Linked DNA regions of Schizosaccharomyces pombe. The protein of the gene in region 1 purifies or fractionates together with the protein of each later gene. This does not show direct contact. Each region holds a gene or a part of one and is shown in the gene's direction. Other genes may lie near its edges.

Region 1 (4,732 bases):
AATTCAAAAAGCTGAGATTTCCAAGTTTGATACAAATAACCTGTAAGCCCGTTTCACGCTTGAGAGTGCGCAAGAAAGTTTCAATGGAAGAAGAAAGAATAGATGGAACAGCATAATTGGGAGGCTCATAAGCGGATAATATACCATGAGACAAGCCAATGATTCTGGCCTTTTGACTTTTCAAAAGAGGAATCATTCGAGAAACGTTAGAGAAAGATTCACTGAGTTGTTGAAAAGCACTGATCCAAGCATCTTTTCCAATGTTCTCAATTGGAGTGTACAAAGAATCTCCTGTGGGAACGAGAATAAGACCACGTAGGCGCAAAGCATACTCCTTAGGGCCAGATTGATTGGAAAAAGACAAAAGGAAGCGTTCAACAGCCTCATTATGAGTAACAATCAAAGATTGAATGTAAGGGCGTTGTTGGAGAGAAACAGTAGCTGCTTCAGATGCATCGCGAACAAGAACAACGACGATAAAACCACGACGATCCAAATCGTGAGCAATTACTGAGGCGAGAGGGTTCCACGCAGATAAGACAACAACTTGGGTTTTTTGGTGGTTGGGTGCACGTGGAGCACGACGCTTGCGTACATAATCATAGCGTTTGTAATAGGATAATCCAGCAAGGAACAAAGCGGCCGATCCTAAGCCAACTGATACTCTATTTTGATAAAGAAATTCTCCCAATCTTCCCTTGGCACTGTTTGTAGTATGAACTGTAACAGGTTGAGGGTTACTAGTTTTTTCATGAGCATAGTCAATGATTCGCTTGCCGTAATCCTTAACATTAGAGACTAAATCGGCAGCCCAGCGTTCAGGATTCATTTTTTAATGTTATTCTACCTTTTTGATATGATAATTCGTTTTCGTAGCAATTGGATTAGATTTCCAGGCAAAAAAACACTTCAATTTTCTCCCTGATATAATGTTTGAAGAAGGAAACAATGCAGGATGAAATTGAAAAATATTTAGCAATTTCAACAATAAATACTATCACTTGAGGAATTCACAAGTAATACTTCAAAAAGCTAAAGAATTCTAAAACTTGGAATTAATGAAGTGGTGAGTGGTGGTTGAGAACAGGTCGCGAATATTGGAAAACACCATGATGTCGTGCTAACTTGATCCTAAATCGCAATTCTATTTTATGGCAGTAAAGATGATTCAAATCGAATGCAAGTTTTAATATTGAAAGTTTATCGAAGTTAATCTCACATCAGGCTAATAGGAAGCTATGTTGCTAAAAACATATTGTAAGTAAATGATAGTATCTGTTCATAAAAGGTTTGATGTTTTGCGGGAATTGAGCGATGGCATTATAAAAAAATGAGGATTAATGGCTTTAGAGATTGACTAATGGGAAGGATAAAGGATACCAAGGATATGAGAGAACGGATGGATGATTAGTATTTATTATGAAATTCGCGTTTTCATTGTAGATGAGAAGTCCGATTGAAGTATTGACCTTACTTCTCTAAAGCATGTACATATGAAAGGATCATTGTGATCTGTTTGCTCAAAAAACTTTAAGAATTGTATTAAAACCTTGCTACTCTTTAAAAGTTTTTATGTGTACCATAGTTCTTGTAATTGTCTCAACAATTGTAAAAAAAAGAACAGCCTTTCATTTGTCGCTCAGTCCTTCTTTAAATTGAAATGTTATTCCTTACATTACCTAACATTTTTAAAGTGTTAAAATAATCTAATATTCAATTTGCTACATTGCCTTCAAATCTTATGATATAAAACGTTGGCCAAGAATCAATTTGGCCTCAGCAAATATAGCAGCCGAACTTATACAAACAAAATAATATACTATGGTTTCTTAATCCTGACTTAAGGATGGATTTTCTTAAAATTTAAGGATTTCAGATGCAATCTTTAAAATTCCACTTTTGTTGACGACTAACGGTTCAAGCCTACATTCTACCAATGAATTTCTTCTTAACCAAAATTTGCACTCTTCAACTAGCTAATGCTTCTTTCACCATTCGAAAACAATACTCATATTGTTTTAATGATCTTGTGTCGGTTATCTCTGTCACATTTTAGAAAGCGTTTTCAGAAAGTGAACCTTTTGTTTACACATTTTTGAATGTACTCGTGCATTTACAGTTCTCCGTCGACTCCAAGTTATTTATACCTAAGTATTTGTGCTTGAAATTCTATTTAGGTAGCATCATTCTACACTTTGACATCTTTGCAATAGTGTTTTATTGCCATCTACATTTAATGAATAAGCTACTCCAACTACCTTACTAAGAACACAAACCCAGACCTCGTAACGTAACCACGTTGCTTTGTCCTAGTCGGTTTAACGTGTTTCGCTAACATGCTGACAAATTTTTACATAAGATTTTAAGTATCGATTCATCTTTGATAATGATGTCATATTTGTAAATTATTATATACATACCGGGATAAGATAGGTTGTGGGGCAGATCATTAGTACAACAGGAAACGATATCAGATCAAGGAGTAAATATACTCGATATCAATATCCACTTTTCCATTCTTATTAACTTGCCTTTTTTTATAATTTTCTGTTCTATTTATAAAAATTTCTGTTCACTTTATCTTTTTTATATTCTTTCTTTCATTCATTTTTAACCATCATGACTTCGATTCACACTGGCTCAAATAACAACATTGTTGAGCTTGATATGTCTGAGTTAATTCGTCCTATACCTCCTGTTTTAGATATGAACAAAGTCAATAGTATGATGGAAACCATGACAGGGAAAACTCCTCCAGCTTCATGCGGTTTGACTTCAGAAGATTTGGAAGCTGGTGAGCTTCCTCCTGTTGATGTTTTAACGTTTAAAAAGAGTGGGAAGCCTTATTATTTTGCCTTTGGGGGCTGTCATCGACTACGTGCTCACGATGAAGCAGGGCGCAAAAAGGTTCGCTGCAAATTGGTAAATTGCTCCCCTAACACTCTACGCCTGTATCTGGGTGCTTCTGCCAATAAATTTTTGGATAGTGATTAGATTTAACTTAGATTTTTTCACAAGTTTTTTTAGGATTATCGATATTCCATTGAACCTGTTTTATTCCCTTCCTGCACCAACATTTATGGCGTTAATAATCATCTCTACCGGCGGTACATTATTTTTAAAGGTTTTTGTTTTACATTAGTTATGGGGTTTTTTTTTAATGTCTAATATAACCCAATTATATTAAAAAAGTTTCTTATAAAAAAGCATCATTCATTTGGTTGCTTTACCTAAAAAAAACAAACACAAAAAGGTATTATATCGTAAACAAACAACTTATAGCGTTTGGGAGTATAGCGTTCTTTATATTTACATAGTATCAAAGTATAGATATCAGGGGCCATATAATATGTGGTTCATTAATCAAGGTCATAATTACCTTCTTTTAAAAGAGCGAAAAATTAAAGATTAAAAAAAAAAAGCCTTTAAGCTCCCTAAAAAAGTCGTTAACATTAAGAAACTCGTATGATGTTTGGGAAACTTTGTAAAAGATAAAACCTTTTTAAGAATAATCGGAAAATTTAGTGCCTCTATTCTGGCATTTTTCGTAAATTGCTAACGCAATCATAAGCCATGCTATCAATAAGTTCCTTATTTAATCGCTTGTGCTTACTCAACTCCACCGACCTTTCTATAATCATTGATAATTGAGAAGCTGAGATTTCTGTGCTGAGTCTAAGTGGATGAGCATTATTGGTGTGCCCAGAAACAGGTAACGGCTTTTTGGCCAAAGGTGTCAAATAGGATGGCAAAGGGTTTAAAAAGGGATGAACCAGCAATTCCGGTATTGTAAGTCTCTTCCGTTGATCCCTTTCCAGGCATCTTTTCATAACATCCATTAGATCAGGCCCGACAGTTACACCTGGCAACGATCCCTCTTTCTCCTGGACAGCATTAGCAGGTAAGGCAACTTCGGGGAAATGAATGTGATATTGTTCATTAGGGATAGCTGCTATAGCTTGGATCATTTTTAGATGAGCAAACGGGGCCCTCCCATACACCATCTGATATAATATACATCCCAAACTCCACACGTCGCTGGGCCTGCCCAACTTTACGAGTTTCACGCCAGAGTTTGTGTGAGCATTCATGTCTGTCAAAGCTTCAGGTGCCATATAATTAATAGTACCGATGTGGGAATCACGATGGATATTAGTGGTGTCATTACCAATTGCTTTGGCAATGCCAAAATCAATCAGCTTCAAATTCCCTTCTACAAGCAGGAAATTGGCCGGCTTCAAATCCGAATGCACTATATTTTGATCATGAACTACCTGGACCGCCTCTAGCATTTGCTCCCAATACATTCTGATGAAATTAAGATTAATGGGTTTCTTCATGTTTTTCATTAAAAGGTTTGCTAAATCCGTTTCTCCGCATTCCATCACCATATTGAGTTGCCCTAAAGTATCATTAACTTCGGCAGCATATAATTTAATTATGCGATCATTGCCTGAAAGCTTTCTTAATAATGCAATTTCGTTCTTGTATCCTTGTATAGTAGTTTGGTCTGCATTAATAAAGTTCACCTCTTTCAAAGCGTATAAACGACTGTTATCGGGGGAAAATATGCGATATACCATACTACTTCCACCCTTTCCAACAACTCCTAATTTGATAAATTGTAGATTGGCAACAGTAACAACGTCCTGCTGACGCTTGGGTATGGGAGTAGCTTGACTGTTATCAAATAACGGAGCCACCTTTGGAGAAAGAGCATGAGATTCATATG
Region 2 (4,750 bases), on another chromosome or scaffold:
TCCGCTTTTCCATCAACAATGGATTATTTACCTGACGACGGTAGTTGGTAAACTCAGTGCGTATATAACTGAAATGACAATCTCATATAGTGAAGAACAGCGTAGATGTAATAAATTATAATGCTCACAGTAACATACGCTATATATACTATACACATTTATGTAATAGCTACAAAAACAGCTTTTTCTATTGAAAGATTATTAGCAAAAAAATCAAAACATTTAACAACTGAAAGTTTATGGTCCAAATAAAACAATCATCAATCGCTTACATCTTACAGTTGCCCGTGTCAGTAAATAACTCCCACTTAACCTCAATAACGTTTACAAGTATCTACTTAAGATCTCTTCAGATCTAATAGTATTAAATTCAAATATAGAAACCTTATATTCAAACAAACACTCTCAACATTTTTTAACAGATAGCATGAAGACCCACATGAAATAACATTCACAACAACCATTTAGTTTTAACGGTCACCGTTGTTGGAATTTACCTTTTGCAACAAAAAAGGATTGAAAACGAAATTAAATACAGCGTTTCCATTCATGCTGCTAAAAAAAGGAATGTCGTTTGAATTCATCGATACGCTCGTTTGGGTAGTAAAAATGAGCAGATCGAGATCATTAACAATATAACAAATAATAAAAAATAATAAAATTCATAGCAAACATTATAATTAGCACATACATGGTTCAACAATATACACAGTATGCAACGGCCATGCCGGGAATTAATCCCCTGTCACTTTTAGACCTAGGTGAAGAGAAAAAAGAACCGCATTTTTTAAAAAAAAAAAGCATCGTAACGATGACAAAGTGCAGCAATCAAAAAGTTGACAAGGACTTAAACATGTACATGCTGCCCAGTGGGAATTAGTTTAGTTATTGTCATTATTTTGGAGCATTCCAAGAATCTGCAAAATACGAATAAATAAATTGATGAAATCAAGATAAAGCATTAAACTCGACATAATAAACTCCTCCGGTGAGTAACGGTGAAGGATGTTGTATGTATCAAACAAGATGTAACCACAAAATACAAGTGTTCCGAAACCAGCAAAAGCCATGTCTATAAATGGCGTAGATGGTACAAAGAAAAATATTAAAGGGGTGAGGATAAGGGACCATAAAGAAACGTATAGAAATCCTCCAAGTCGGCTGAAGTCCCATTTTGACTGGAATGTAAAAGCCGTTAATGCGACAAACACTCCAAGTGTAATGAAGACAGCTTCAAGAATAATACGAGCGCTGAAGAATGTGATGGCGGTACCCAGAGTCAATCCTTCAAGTGCAGTGAAAAGGAAAAGAAAAATGTAATTACGCGGATAGGAATACGGCTTCATAATTAGACCAAACAAAACAACCAGAGAGATGAAGAAGTTGAGAATCAAGAACCATGGGTGCATTTGAACCCAAAAAGAAAAAGCAGGATGTAGGTAGAAAATGCCACCAAATAAAGAAGTGACAAAAAGCTGAGCAGTGAGAATGGCATAAACCTTTCTTAAAAAGGCCATGCGAATGCTTTTGGCGCATTCAGCAACGGGCGTAGTATTTTTAAATTGATCAACAGCGGGATTTTCGGTAGCAGATTCATTATATTCGGAATAGGCGGGAGGAGCCTGAGCCAAATTTGGCACTGAAGGATCATCCTGAGGCACAGATTGGTAATTTGCAGGCATGATTGAAAAACAAAAGAAGATACCTTAAAACACGAATAGCAAATGGATAGTTGCGAAGGAAATGCCTTATATATAATAGAATTAAGGTTTTTTTGTAAGCAATAAATTGAGATAAAAAGAAAAAACCTGTAATTTACTGAAATATGAAGGAGATAATAAAAAACACAAATATGTTTAGTCGATGGCGCTGCGTGGTAAAGGGGAAAGTCAGTAGATAAATAGTAGCAAGATTAAGTGATGGATAATATAGTGATCGTGTTCAATTACGTTAAAACAGAATTGAGGACCCACGTACCAAAAGTGGAGGACAGACGATGCATAGAACACTATGGAAATTGCAAATGACTTTTACATGAACCATTGCAACGTTTTCAAGAAATGTCGAGAACAAAAGAAGCTAATAAGGAGGCGTAAATGTAATTTGAAGAGAGGCAAAGCAGTGTAGGGTTCAAGCCGTTTTCCTCAGAAGAGTCAATTTTATAAACAAGACTGGCAAGAAAAAAACAGCAGGAAACGTGGAAACAAACACGATGAGAAAGATTGGATGAAACCTGAATTACTTATTATTTCGTAAATCCTTATATAGTAATATAACCATCTTTGTCCACTACAACAAAAAGGTGGCCACTTCGAGGTATAATACTAAGCCGGAGGACCGTGGAGCAAAATGTCAGTACATTACCTTTTGTTTTCGTCGTAAATCTTTTTGTAAGCTTCTTTAGAAAAAGATGATCCTTCTTTCTAAGACTCTCCTTTTCGACTATGAAGATTCACACCGTCTCTCCTCTACAAGTGCAGTAATAGTTTTTTTAATTCTACACACCGCAACATATTTCCTTATTTTATTTATTATAGCTCGTTCCTTTTCGTCAATAGGTCCACCGGTGTTCCTTCATTTTCTGTATATATTGATAGTGTAAGCACAAGTCCAGAACGGAATTTATCGTTAACAAGCGATTTGCATTATCGCCTAATTATTGACTAAGCTCACTTGCTTACTTCATGCATATCTCATCGATTGGGTGGATGTGCGCTTTATGTAATCTAGAACGTTATGGAATGATCGGCGTCTCGTCTAGTCGCAAGCTTGGTATGTCAGCTGGGGCTGCAGATCCTGTCCTATATAAAGGGACATGCCCTCACCGCTTCTTTTCTCCAGTGTCTTTCGATACAACATCCAAATAGTACGATTCTCTTTGGGCTCAGCAACTGTCTTAACTTGTTCCAAACCTACCTAAATTCCATATCATTAATCTATAATCATGAGTTTGCAAATCGGTAAACCTGCTCCCGACTTCAAGGGTACTGCCGTTGTTAACGGTGCTTTCGAGGAAATCAAGTTGGCCGATTACAAGGGTAAATGGGTCTTCTTGGGCTTCTATCCCCTTGACTTTACCTTTGTTTGTCCCACTGAGATTGTTGCTTTCTCTGAGGCCGCCTCCAAGTTTGCTGAACGTAATGCTCAAGTCATCTTGACCTCCACCGATTCCGAGTACTCTCACCTTGCCTTCATCAACACTCCTCGTAAGGAAGGTGGCCTTGGTGGCATTAACATTCCCCTTTTGGCCGACCCTAGCCATAAGGTTTCCCGTGACTATGGTGTCTTGATCGAGGATGCCGGTGTTGCTTTCCGTGGTCTTTTCTTGATCGACCCCAAGGGTGTTTTGCGTCAAATCACCATCAATGATCTCCCCGTTGGCCGTTCTGTCGACGAGGCTCTCCGTCTTCTCGATGCCTTCCAATTCGTTGAGGAGCACGGTGAGGTTTGCCCTGCCAACTGGCACAAGGGTTCCGATACCATTGACACCAAAAACCCCGAGAAGTACTTTTCCAAGCACTAGATCAATTTTCTGAGCAAGTGTAGTCAACGAGAGTCAAACACGATTTGTCTCGTATCTTTTTAGATTAGTTTATGAATCTCCTTTTTTGCCTATATTCTCAAAGTTTGAGGTAGTAACTGTGTGTGTATCATACTATACCATCGTAATGTCTCGTGAGGCAAGGGTGGATTGCGTAAATTAGCAGAGTGCGGATCTGCTAAAAGGAAATTATTTAATTGGGACGTCTGCTAATGTGCTTATTTTTCTCATTAATTAATGATATTTTCAGAAACGACTTTTTTAATGCATCGTATACATTTGTTTAAAGCTACAAATGTGTGGGATGCTGCTCGTAAGTTATATAACTATTTATAATTATAAATACTGTATAAAGTTATTTGAAGTCAACTTTAAGTATATGGATGAACTGGTTATAATGATTTGAGTGATTACATTGTGTTTTATTGAACTCGTTTGTATTATTATGCCTTTTGACAACATGACGACAATTCAAAACAAAAGAAAAAGGCAACCTATGTTTTAGTTTATACCAAGAAAATGGAACCTAAAAAAATTAAATCCTCTCATTGTTTTGCTTTGCGTCTATCGTTTTGTAACGCACCGACACGCACTGACATACCAAGTGACTTGCTACCTCAGATTATCTGGGGTAGACTTCGGTGGTTAAAAGAAGGTTAGTCCGTGGATTTCACTCCCTTCACCCGCATCTTCCTTATCAGGCCCAAAGGGAGTTAAACGAGTTACGCTCGTTGCGATAACATGTAAGCTACGCAGTTTGGTATCTGATTTAAGGATACGTAGAACTGCGGTGAGTTTTCCTTGTGGTCTATTATATTACAATACACAGGTTGTATAAGTAGCAACTGAGTATAGGTATTGTATTAACTGGGTTATAATGTTACCTATCACTAATATAGCTCATAACTGAACTGAGGAACGAGGTTCAGTTGTAACGCTATTTATAATATTTCTAAATACTTGTATCAACGGGTATCTATGTATATAGAAGGATAGTTACCCGTGATTATCAATAAACGGATCTTAGCTAGTATTCCAACATATGACATATAGTGATACGCAACGTAGTGTAGCATAGCGTAGTGTAGTATTGCTGACATAACGAGAATTTTCGAGATATAAAGAAGAATAGGTTTTCAGTTCATTCAAGTCAATATAAATGGATAGAGATACATAAAATAGAAATTTTAATTGTAGTCGCATTTTATT

What was found. Proteins that work in one complex are often made in the same cells at the same time.
Region 2: the proteins of srx1 (region 1) and tpx1 purify together in Schizosaccharomyces pombe (affinity purification with western blotting, with the first as the bait; one study listed by BioGRID). This does not show direct contact.

The regions. Positions count from the first base shown.
Region 1 is NC_003423.3:374,724-379,455, reverse strand, and holds srx1 (sulfiredoxin), read left to right. Parts: upstream 1-2,443; 5' UTR 2,444-2,619; coding exon 2,620-2,994; 3' UTR 2,995-3,203; downstream 3,204-4,732. Other genes in the region: SPOM_SPBC106.03 (steroid dehydrogenase), read right to left, coding at 1-829; dual-specificity protein kinase Mph1, read right to left, coding at 3,531-4,732. UniProt on the Schizosaccharomyces pombe protein: Contributes to oxidative stress resistance by reducing cysteine-sulfinic acid formed under exposure to oxidants in a peroxiredoxin. May catalyze the reduction in a multi-step process by acting both as a specific phosphotransferase and a thioltransferase.
Region 2 is NC_003421.2:2,083,809-2,088,558, reverse strand, and holds tpx1 (thioredoxin peroxidase Tpx1), read left to right. Parts: upstream 1-2,839; 5' UTR 2,840-2,944; coding exon 2,945-3,523; 3' UTR 3,524-3,617; downstream 3,618-4,750. Other genes in the region: nuclear export factor sac3, read right to left, coding at 1-13; BAX inhibitor family protein Bxi1, read right to left, coding at 882-1,682. UniProt on the Schizosaccharomyces pombe protein: Thiol-specific peroxidase that catalyzes the reduction of hydrogen peroxide and organic hydroperoxides to water and alcohols, respectively.